2 linked regions of the Arabidopsis thaliana genome follow. The main gene of each other region encodes a partner of the protein of the gene in region 2 in a complex. Each region holds a gene or a part of one and is shown on either strand. Other genes may lie near its edges. A codon is read from its position in the direction of its gene.

Region 1 (5,126 bases), on a different chromosome or scaffold from region 2:
AGTCTTCAAAGCCGACCGGGAGAAGAACCAACAAAAATCAGTACAATTTGCTATCGGAAACCTAAACCGAAAGAAGAATGGGGAAAAGAAGACGATAATGAGAAAAGCGAAACCTGTCCAACGGAAGAGATCGATTGGTTCTCGGGATCAAACCCCATGGCTACGGAAGCTTGGTATGGATCCCGTGACCGTGAGTGTGGTATGTTCAAGGAAACCCAGAAAAAAATATATCGTTCTGGGGTTGTACGAAATAGCTACTTCTCTGATTCGAGCTCAACGGAGCTTCGAATTTGCAGAGGAGAGAAACGTGAGGAAGGGAGACGACAAGTATGTATGCCAGGGTGATTATAGATGTTAACGGAACAGTGGACAAGCTTTAAATAGTCGGAGCTTAATTTCAAATTAAGATTCTGATTTTCAATTAAAAAAATAGGAAATTAGTCTTAATAGTGTGTTAGCATAAATAGAGAGAGTCAAACTGTGAAACCCTTTTTGTTTTTAAATTGTAAAACCAATTAAATGTTGATATTGGATGTTTCTGTTAATCAAAATTCCAGTTTCGTTTTTTTTTGTTTAGAAAGATTATAATTTTTTTTTATAACAAAGTTGACCATAAAAACGACAGAAGAAGGATAATTAAAAAACGTGGTGCTGATCTCGTTTAAATTTTTAATTACCATTAAAAACGTTTTGTTGCTGGCACTGCGTTCGATTTATCTGGTTATCATAATCCGTTTTGGGAAAAATCTCTCATTTAGATGTATTAATAGTATTAAGATTTTGTTGGAAGATTTTTTTTTTGTTTTTTGTTTTTAGATCATAAACTCTGTATTCAATTTTCTTTGAAGATTTTCGAAGAAAAAAAAAATCTTGAAAGATATTTTTCTCGATGAAGTTATTTGATTAATATATTTTTAAATACTTCTACTTATTAGAACTTTTCTACTTTCCTAGCCAGAGGTGAAGAAACAAGAAACTTAATAATCAGCAAATTATTACACAGTAACAATTACAATTCCAGATCCGAAACCCAATTGTCCAGCTTTAGATCCAAGACAGCTTTTATTAAAATGACACAGAAACAAAACAACAAATCACTCGAGAGAAAGTCTCGCAGAGCGTAAAACCAAAATATCATCTTCTTACTGAGTCTTGGTGGGTACCCATGATTGGTACCGAGTCCAGTTCTTTTGTCCCGGGTTCAAGGTATGTCCCTTCGAATGGTAGATGTATGCATCACCTTCTCCAGAGAAGTTCTCTTTATGCTCAAGCCCATACCTTTTTGGTTTCAAACTCAAGAGCTTGAAACAGAGACATTGGTATTTATTATCAAGTTACAAGGCAATATATTATCTATTGATTGAACGAGACAGCGAATTTGAAATGGCTCTTGGTTTTACCTCATCGCCAGTGTGATCAGTGATGAAATGAAGCCACCCGTGCCATTCAGCTGGTACTTGAGATGCGTTGTAACGATCCTTTGAAGCATACTCTACCCATCTGTGCCTACCTGTTCACAAAGTGATTGCTTGTTTCAATGTAAAAGCCTCTTGACTAAACATTCTATTAAGATACATGCAGTGAGCTAACAAATAACAAATGCTGAGTGAGTGGCTACAATTTCCATGACTGTACCACTCAGAATAAACAAACATTTGAAGTCAATATTAAAAGGGTTATTCCCTGAATATTTAGTAACAAATATCATGAATCCTACAGTGGCATCAATTTTTTTAGGTTAAAGCATGATTTTATATAGGTAAAACATGAAGTTAAAGGAACTACATACCGTATTGAGTATCGCCTAGCTTCTGGTAGTATTTGTTACCGAACTTGTCAACACCAACAAGTGTCGCTCCTATGTTATGTATTTTAGTTTGCCTTCATCAAATATAGAAATAAAACAGTATTGATCAGAAAATACGACTCAACAGCAAGCTACAATATAAAGAATGGGGAAACTATTAATAAGACACAATATTCAAGCATACTGTGTATATACTATGTGACCCATATATACATGCTTCCAACATCTCAATACACAACATAGAAGCAACACTAAGTATATGTTATATGTATATTACGCATAAAGAAATGATCTGAGGAAAAGGTTCTCTATATTCAGCCAAATGCACCAACTATCTAGAGCCTATGAGAACGACAAATCCAGCTTATAGACTTGGTGAAAGAGGCACATAAATTTTGACTCTTAAGATCTTTCAAGTTTCAAGACTACTTTGTAGGCCAATTTCATCACCATTAACAGGCCTCACCAATCTTTGAGCTCTTATTCCTCATCAACTTGAATAGCCTTATGGCATAATATTGTCAATTCCTTCAAACATGTAACTACACTATCTCTGGAATACCAACCATCATTTACTGTCACTGTTTCTTTACTGAACTCCAAAATCAACTAACATAACATCTATCAGCAGTCCAAGTCAAAGAATAGTAAGCTGTTCAAGAATTGGCGAGCTCTGTTCACAGTATAATGAATCTGACAAAATTATGTTCGCTCACACAACAACATACACATATAAGAATATGAAAATGAACTTGGTCTGTAAAGAACTCTTGAACAACCACTTGAATCATATTCGTAATCCACAAAGAAGTGAAACACTAAGCACTAATTATCAAAGATAAATTACTTACAAGAGGTTCCCATCTGGTAGGCATCTCCTGCAATGAAGAAAAAAAATTGAAAGAAGCAATTAGAGAAATTCCATAAACTAGTGATTACCTCGGAATACAAACAATAAGATCTTAGACTTATAAGCAACCAGAAACATTATGCCAATTTCAAGCATCACCATCACCGTTCAAAATTGATGTTCACCAAAAACAAAGTGTTTGATTTTCATTTCACATCAAGAAAATTTAACATTTGAGTGAAAAAAACCGAAGAATGATAACCATTCATTGCAAACAAACTTCAACAAACACCGAAAATTCTTGTAAATTTCTAGATTATTTGGGATCTAACTAATGAAATCGAGGGTATAATCCTGAAGAAATTAAGCAGAGGAAGAGAGATTGGAAAAGAGAGACAGAGAACTAACATGAAGCCTTCTTCTCGGATCATCCTCATGAAACCGCCGAGACCTTTCTCTCTAATCGCCTCCAACGCACTCTTCGCCACCGTCAAAGCCATCGTCTTCCGCTATCGCTCTCTCTCTCTCGGAATCGGGATTTGATTTCGTTGTCGAAATAACAAGGGACATGATGACGATTGCTAAACGCATCGTTTTGTATTTGTTGGGCTACGCTTTGTGTTTACCTGGGCCACTTGCTCGCTATGGCCTTCCCCATGATGATGTGGCAGAGAAGCATATGAATATACATTTTCTACTATGATTTGGTATATCAAGAAATACAAGATTTAAATCTGCTTTTCCCACTTTCCTCAAAGCATTAGATCATACATTCATAGGGTTGTAATTTTGATTTCTCAGTGAATAAGAAGAGATGATGTGTATTTATTCATAAGGAGTTGTTCAAAAATAAAAAAAGGAAATTCATTTTGTATATGTTATCAAAAAAAAGGAAATCACTACGCATTATAAAACCCAAAAAAAAAAAAAAAAAGGCCTTTTAAGTTTTAACACTACGCATTCCAATTTGCTATGCATTAGCTTCATAGCTAAATCTGTTTTTCCCACTTTCCTCAAAGCATTTGATGATCATAACATTAACAGTTCACTTCTCTTCCTCTCTTAGTAAATCCCATTAGCCATTTTACAAGCTAAGAGTACACAACGTATTATAATCATATCTTCACGAATGGTAAACTCGATTTCAATATAATGATAGATCTCCTATTGTTAAGGTTTTTCCAAGCTTACTCCTTAGCTTAGATTTCATGGGATCAAATGAATACTACTACTTAGTAAAGTTCCGTGTTCAAAAAAAGAAAGAAAGTAAAGTTAATATTTGGGGAAAATGCTATTAATTAATTAATGCAAACATAATAATATGACATAAATACATAAATCCAAAAAAAAAAAAAACACTCAATTTTATTTTATATAATAATATCATACAAAATCTAATAATGAACATCATTAAATAAAAATAATAAAGTTCTACAACTTAGTGATTGAATATAGCTTATTTAAAAATAAAACTTAATAATGTTTTTTTTTGTAAAACCTCAAAAAGTGTTGGAAATTTGATTAATCTATATGATTGCATTTCATTTTATAATAATCTTTCCTTAAAGTAAATCTTTGAATAAAATAAACAATCCTAGTAAATATTTGAGTAGCGTAGACTGTAGAGTATACAAATTCAAACCCTGAGGCGGTCAACGAAAAAAAAAGAAGAGAAAACAAAATTAGAAGTCAGGCCTTTTTCTCAGCGTCGCCTGCGTCAATCTTAAGCTGTCTTTCAAAAACCTCTCTCAATATTTAAACTGCCTCTCCTCCGTACCGCTCTACCCAAAAAAAAACTCTCTCCCTCTCTCTCGAACTTTGTCTCCCTCCATTGATTTCACTCTCGTATCGAGTCTCTTCTTCTAGAATTTGCGCATCCTCTCCGCCATGGCTGCCGAGAAGTTAAGAGACTTGAGTCAGCCGATTGACGTCGTTTTACTCGATGCCACTGTTGAGGCCTTTTACTCTACCGGATCTAAGGAAGAAGTGAGTCCCGTTGTTTATCATAATTTCTCTGAGAATTTTAACGATGAACGAGTATCGCCACCACATTAAGCGGTCTCTTATTCACTGTTAATGCGTTCTATCGATTTGGGGGTTAGGCGAGGGTTTAGTATTTGCGATACGAATTGGATGAGTTTTGCTTAATTCTTTTTCCTGGGTTAGAGATAGGTTTCGATTGTTTGTGGCTGTTCTTGTTATCTGGAAAAACACTAAACAATGTAATTTGTGTGTAAAAACGATGTTTGCATATGTGTGCTTTCAATGAGATAAGAATGTTTGAAAACACCTTGCAGAGAGCTTCTGCGGATAATATCTTGCGGGATTTGAAAGCTAATCCTGATACTTGGCTTCAAGTTGTTCACATTCTACAGAACACCAGTAGTACGCATACCAAATTTTTTGCCCTTCAGGTCAGTGTTTTAGTGTTCTCTTATACCTGCTCTTCTCTTTATTTAGCATTCCCGT
Region 2 (5,725 bases):
CATTATTGCTGTTGTTATTAGTACTACTGTTGACAAATCCAGGGGTAGGCATCATCTGGCCGGTATTTCTCTGGGAGCTCATGGATGACATGTTCCCTCCAGACCCAAGACCAAAGTTACTCGATGAATGTTGGTATCCATTAGACAGGTTACCTGCAAAGAGAAGTAAAGGTGTTCAGAAAAAATATGCGCAGAAAATTTTATGCCCATATTTTATATAAGTTGTAGTGAAAGAACCTCCAAGCATGCCACCAGAATTTAGCAGGTTTCCAGTGTTCATAGCACTAGTTGTGATGTTATTACTTCCAGCCATTGTAGCATCACCTGAGGAAGTAATCATCAAATTTGGATTCCCACCACTGTGTTGTAATCCTGGAGTGGGTATCATTGTTCCAACCGAAGAAGAATTAGCGTGTCGCTGATTGTAGTTATTTAACTGCCTGCCTTTGATTAGACTTGCCAGCCGAGGTTCAAGGGTTGACGGGTTCACGTAATCTTCCTGCGATTCAAAATGGAAGTGTAGCACGTTAACAAGAAATTTCAAGTTAGGACATTAGCCAACAAGCTGGATCTAGTGGCAAAATTTTAAATGCCAAATACGTGCCTATCCTTTCCTTAAGTATATTAAATAAATACCTTTGTGTTAGCAATTTTAAACAGCCCCTCCTCTAAGCGTCTAGCAACATCCATATATTTAGCCTTTGATGCTTCATCAGCTGGAGATGGTTGCTTTTGCTGTAAGATATTGAAACTGAAAAGAAAGAAGAGAAATACACGGATTTGATTGGCGATAAACTGGAGATATTGAATCCAATCCAAAATAAATAGCCGTATAACAAGAGCAAGGAAATATAACTGCAAAATGGTGGGAAGACACCAAAGTCAAAAGCTTGAGAAAAGCAAAGGCTTACATCCTGATTCGCATAGCCTGCCGAAGTTTCAAGATGTCATTGTCAACGGGAGAAACGCGTGAAGGTCCTAAACCAGCACCAGTAGCAGGAGCTGAACCACCACCAACTAAATTCTGCATTTGGGAGTTCCCATTTTGCTGGGACATAGTCCCTTGGTTTGAAACCTGCCCCGACATGTGAGCCTGAACATTCATAGCTACCTCTTCAGTCTCCGTCGCCTTGTCCTAGTTCTTCTGGTAATTAACAGTAACAAACACTGCATAACTTTCCTCTCCTCCAGAAGTCACAGTATCCAAATTTCATCTCCTGATTTAGCACCTTAGAGAATGTCCTGCTAAAAAAACTTGGTGTAATCAGAGAACTGAAATTGTCACAATTTGATCTCATATTAATTGGGAGATAGTATCAATCATAGTATCAACTAAAGAAGTAATTAAACCCCAAAATAGTTACCAAAAATGAACAAAATGATAAACCCTAAAAATTCACCCCCAATCTTTGAATTGATACAAAAAGGAGTAAAATTTGGCAACAAAGTGGAGAAATTTGACGGAGACCAACCGGTTGCTACAGATTGTACGATGATTGGAGTCTGCACAATGAAACAAAGCCGGTGAACAGCCGATGCGGCACGTGTGAACTCAAACCAAAAGCGAGGTCAGAAATTAGGATCAAGCAGTAGACAAATCCCAGAAAGAAGATGGCAAATCAAAAGCGAATGAATTCAGGTTTTCCCAAATCGGGGGATGTTCTGGGCTTGTAGGTTCGTCGAATTTGGGATTTTTCTTTGGACTCGCTCGATTTGGGGATTTTGTTTTTTTTTTTCTTTCCTTTCTAGGGATTCGTTGTTTTTCTAAAATAGTAACTCAACAAAAAATACACATTAAAATATTAATTTTGCTGTCTGAATACGATAATTGGCGCAACCAAAAGGCAAATAAATGAAAAAATCGACAAGCATTATGTTTAGATCGGACAGATTAGGATAAACTATAAGCATATGATCCTGTCCGTCCGCCGTAAAAAAAAAAAAGACATGATCTTGTCCGTCCGATCAAATATTTCTTAATGTACAGATATACCCTTGTAGCTTAAGACTTATCTGTTTTCAGTCTTTGACCAAATTAAATGCTCTTTCTCCGAACCGAAAACACCTAATAACCGGAACTCATGAACCGAAAATCAAAGTCAGGTTGGTTACAAACAATTCAATTACACAGCACAAAATCTGGATTACAAAAGAGTTTTCACACGCATATGATCTCGTCTTTATTTTCAAACAGAAGCAACGAAAATGTTTCCCCGGGAAAAACAAGTTGAATGAAGCAGAGACTGTTGTAGAATGGTTCAGCGGTAGAGACTCTCCGACCTCAGATTCTCAGCAATCTCTGTCTCCCATCGATCTCCATTCTCAAGAAGCTTCTCTTTGTCATAGAGAAGTTCCTATCATAGAGAATATAACAAAAATTTCAATAAGCATGCCTCGAAAATTATTAGGGTCTAGAAAATGTGAAAAACAGACCTCGTGTGTCTCGGTTGCGAATTCAAAGTTAGGTCCTTCAACGATTGCATCAACGGGGCAAGCTTCTTGGCAGAAACCACAGTAGATGCATTTTGTCATGTCGATATCGTACCTGTACGATACAGCTCAAATCATCATGAAAGGGTAATAAAGAAAGCAGATGGTTGATAAATGAGAACTAAAGGGATGATGACCTAGTGGTTCTGCGGCTTCCATCTTCCCTCTCTTCTGCCTCTATTGTGATTGCTTGAGCTGGACATACCTGATGAAAAGGACAAGTATCCCTCACAAGAATTACAATCCGTGGTGAACTTTTATACACACTAAATAGATCATTGTCAGCTAATATGACCATTTCATCAGAACTCTAGAGACTAAACAGTAAATATTACTCATACTCAAATAGCTTTCCTAATTACTAAGATGAATTTGATAGACTCAGAGTACCATATCAGAACAAAGAGAACGTTAAATTAAATGAAGGATTCATATCGATCTCAAAACTCACAGCTTCACAGAGTTTGCAGGCAATGCAGCGTTCTTCCCCGGTAGGATATCTTCGAAGAGCATGTTCACCACGGAAGCGAGGGCTCAGAGGACCCTTCTCAAATGGATAATTGATCTGCATACACGAAAGAGCTTCAGTAACACAGATTTCTTTCAATCTAAGTTTGGAAGACTAGAAAAGATATCACTCACAGTAACTTTTGGATCAAAGAAGTACTTGAGGGTCAGCGACAAACCGCGGACCATTTCTGTGAGGAACAGGGTGTTTATGCTCCGTTCAAAGACTACAAATTTGAGAATATCAGGAATCACTAATACTCGGGGAGGAAAACACCAAGGAAGATAGACGTACAAGAAAAGAAGAAAGGAGAAAAAAAGTAAAATTGTCTAGATCATATGGATTACCAGTATTCCAGTCCTTGGAGATTTCCTTAGAAAGTTGCTCTGCTTCTTCATCATCTGAATATTACATACGCAAACCATAAGTCATATATGAATCAGAATCTCGTAATACAAGTTGGAAAAGGGGTAGATTCACAATTAAACCTGATTTACCAAAGAAAACCAAACAAGAGCAGAAAATATACCTTTGTTGCTGCCATAAGATATACCACGGGACTGCAGTCTAGACAGATGAGATCCCTGTAAAGCTTGCCCTGACAAAACCTATCAATGTCGAGAAGTAATCAGAGAGGTATTCAGAACATACACACCATATCAAGCTAATGAAAGGATTAAAGCTCGCAAAAAAAAACAAAAAAAAATTGACTTGCGAAAAGGCTTTCGTCACAAAAATTAAATGCGAAAAAGAATAAGGAAACCATAAGTAAAACGAAAGCCCTTAAGATGAACCATGATCAAATTCAAATCTCCCTACATGATTTCATCGATCAGCTAGATAAAATCCAGAATCTCGTCGACACAAAACAAAACACAGAGAGTGAATAGAATCATCTTAAGCTCCCAAAACTCCAGGAGACATTCCCATTTCTAGGCATTCAAATAACTCTAACTAAAGGACACAAAATGAAGAAATAACAAGAGCGAACAAGATTCATACGAGATGTCGAGCACGGAGAGTATTCAGTGACCTGCGAGCCAAAATCGAAGCCATTGATGGAGCACCCAAATTCCGATTTAGGTTCCTTCCTTCTTCACTGCGATTGATGAGCAAACCTGAACTTCCGATTAAAATCAATAAAGAGCCCTAAAATCCTATTTTGTCCTTTGAGTTGAAGATATTATTACAATTTGGTCCCTGGTACAATAGTTTTTGGTTTTCCAAACCGCCGATAGAACCGGATTTTGAATTAAACAGATTCTTTCCTTAACCGAAAATAAACAGAAATACACACAATAACCAGTTAGTTACAAAGTGCTAAAACTTATTTAGCTGAGAATCGTTATTGCATACACCATTGGTGATGGAAAATTCTTTACAAAGCAAGATTGTGAAAATATCTCAATCGAAGTTGGTAGACCGGTGATTTGGAGCAATGTAATAAGAGTTTCCACAATTAATGTGAGATTGCATCAACGGATTCCATCTATCGAAAATAATTCGGCCACCACGCCCAATCCTCCCCTGAAACCGACTTGGAGGTTGACCTGGTGATGAATCCGGTGTTGGAGGAACAATCCCTGCAGCTGCCAGTTTATCGGGAACCAGCGGTTTTGTGAATAGCATTACCGGTTCATTAGGATCCTAAGGAACAAAATCATTACAGGTTTGCTTAAATGATTGATTATAGTAGCTAGAGAGAGCTTAGGTGTTGTAAGAGAAGGTTTTACCAGTCTGTGAAGCCATCCATGCTGTGACTGTCGTCTTCTAACTTCTTGTTTGATGCCTCCGGGATGAGATGCATTCAGATTTAAGTTGGTGAAACGAGAACTAGGAATAACCGCAGGTCTTGTACGTACACGAGTACTGGTGTGATCATCAGAGTCCATCAGTTCATCATCGCTTGAGCCAAATTTGTATGATGTTGTAGTGGGTTGAAATCCAGGCATAGCCAAGCTATCTTCCAAGAGCTCTGTTTCATGCTGCAAAAAAAAAAACAATTTTAGACCCGGAAAACGGAAAACAGAGAGTTTTAGAGGAAGTAGAAGTAAGTACCCTGTATTGGAGTTGGATTCTCTGAAGGCTAACCTCACTGTCCATGACATCCCTCTTCTTCTCTTCTCTCTACGGAATGGGTAACATCAAATTAGCAACTTTGGAGAATGCAATCCGCTTGTTAAGATAAACACTAAAACTGTCATATAGAACACCTTAATGAGAGCCTCCAGAATGCTCTGTGCTTGGCCTAGATTGCGTCTAACCTGATAATAACATATCCCATGTATTCAGAATCCAATAGAAAACCATAAAAGAATCACTAACAGATCATTAACAAGCAGAAAAAACAATGTTGTCCAGAGAGAAACTAAAAGAAGGCACTGTAAACGTAAATTGCTCAGATTTCAGGAAATTAAAGAACCATAAAGGTTCAGGTGCCTCACTCACCTGTCGAAGCTTTTCAAATGACTGCACATTGTTTTCTCTCCTCTGCATCTGAAGATGAAGTAAAGCCTTATCACTATTTTTCTTTCTCCAGTTGGATTTTAATAGAAAAAATGTCGCACATGCATAAAAAAGACAGCCTACCCTTCTTGTGTGGAGTCTGTGAACTTTCTCCCTTGGCCTAAACACATTATAGGGATTGGTGTCATTAACCGGTGGGGGAGGCTGTTCCAAACAATGAAGCAAAACATTAACTAAATAATCGAGGTAAGATGCCTTTCC

What was found.
Region 1: the proteins of AT1G79010 (region 2) and AT3G03100 are in contact, whole or in part, in a cryo-EM structure (PDB 8BEE), measured with the Arabidopsis thaliana proteins. Residues at the interface, in NP_178022.1 of Arabidopsis thaliana: Pro90 (codon at 3,144), Val92 (codon at 3,138), Thr93 (codon at 3,135), Ile94 (codon at 3,055), Asn95 (codon at 3,052), Tyr96 (codon at 3,049), Pro97 (codon at 3,046), Phe98 (codon at 3,043), Glu99 (codon at 3,040), Lys100 (codon at 3,037), Gly101 (codon at 3,034), Pro102 (codon at 3,031), Leu103 (codon at 3,028), Ser104 (codon at 3,025), Pro105 (codon at 3,022), Pro181 (codon at 2,466), Phe183 (codon at 2,460), Glu184 (codon at 2,457), Arg206 (codon at 2,312), Trp207 (codon at 2,309), Thr209 (codon at 2,303), Glu210 (codon at 2,300), Glu213 (codon at 2,291), Asn214 (codon at 2,288); in NP_566192.1 of Arabidopsis thaliana: Asn38 (codon at 2,666), Leu39 (codon at 2,663), Gln41 (codon at 1,880), Thr42 (codon at 1,877), Thr68 (codon at 1,799), Gln69 (codon at 1,796), Arg72 (codon at 1,508), His73 (codon at 1,505), Arg74 (codon at 1,502), Trp75 (codon at 1,499), Val76 (codon at 1,496), Glu77 (codon at 1,493), Tyr78 (codon at 1,490), Tyr84 (codon at 1,472), Ala86 (codon at 1,466), Ser87 (codon at 1,463), Ala91 (codon at 1,451), Glu92 (codon at 1,448), His94 (codon at 1,442), Gly95 (codon at 1,439), Leu97 (codon at 1,433), His98 (codon at 1,430), Phe99 (codon at 1,427), Ile100 (codon at 1,424), Thr101 (codon at 1,421), His103 (codon at 1,415), Leu108 (codon at 1,301).

Annotation. Positions count from the first base shown.
Region 1 is NC_003074.8:704,422-709,547, forward strand, and holds AT3G03100 (NADH:ubiquinone oxidoreductase, 17.2kDa subunit), read right to left. Parts: upstream 3,277-5,126; 5' UTR 3,158-3,276; coding exon 3,066-3,157; intron 2,686-3,065; coding exon 2,659-2,685; intron 1,882-2,658; coding exon 1,790-1,881; coding exon of another isoform or gene 1,786-1,789; intron 1,511-1,785; coding exon 1,401-1,510; intron 1,302-1,400; coding exon 1,143-1,301; 3' UTR 960-1,142; downstream 1-959. Other genes in the region: VGT1 (vacuolar glucose transporter 1), read right to left, coding at 114-158; XPO1B (exportin 1B), read left to right, coding at 4,545-4,643, 4,955-5,071. UniProt on the Arabidopsis thaliana protein: Accessory subunit of the mitochondrial membrane respiratory chain NADH dehydrogenase (Complex I), that is believed not to be involved in catalysis. Complex I functions in the transfer of electrons from NADH to the respiratory chain.
Region 2 is NC_003070.9:29,722,880-29,728,604, forward strand, and holds AT1G79010 (Alpha-helical ferredoxin), read right to left. Parts: upstream 4,150-5,725; 5' UTR 4,055-4,149; coding exon 4,001-4,054; intron 3,607-4,000; coding exon 3,528-3,606; intron 3,400-3,527; coding exon 3,346-3,399; intron 3,225-3,345; coding exon 3,133-3,224; intron 3,056-3,132; coding exon 2,942-3,055; intron 2,696-2,941; coding exon 2,628-2,695; intron 2,546-2,627; coding exon 2,434-2,545; intron 2,355-2,433; coding exon 2,259-2,354; 3' UTR 1,917-2,258; downstream 1-1,916. Other genes in the region: HAC1 (histone acetyltransferase of the CBP family 1), read right to left, coding at 1-153, 238-499, 637-751, 912-1,105; AT1G79020 (Enhancer of polycomb-like transcription factor protein), read right to left, coding at 4,403-4,645, 4,732-4,983, 5,057-5,125, 5,212-5,262, 5,447-5,494, 5,588-5,668. UniProt on the Arabidopsis thaliana protein: Core subunit of the mitochondrial membrane respiratory chain NADH dehydrogenase (Complex I) that is believed to belong to the minimal assembly required for catalysis. Complex I functions in the transfer of electrons from NADH to the respiratory chain.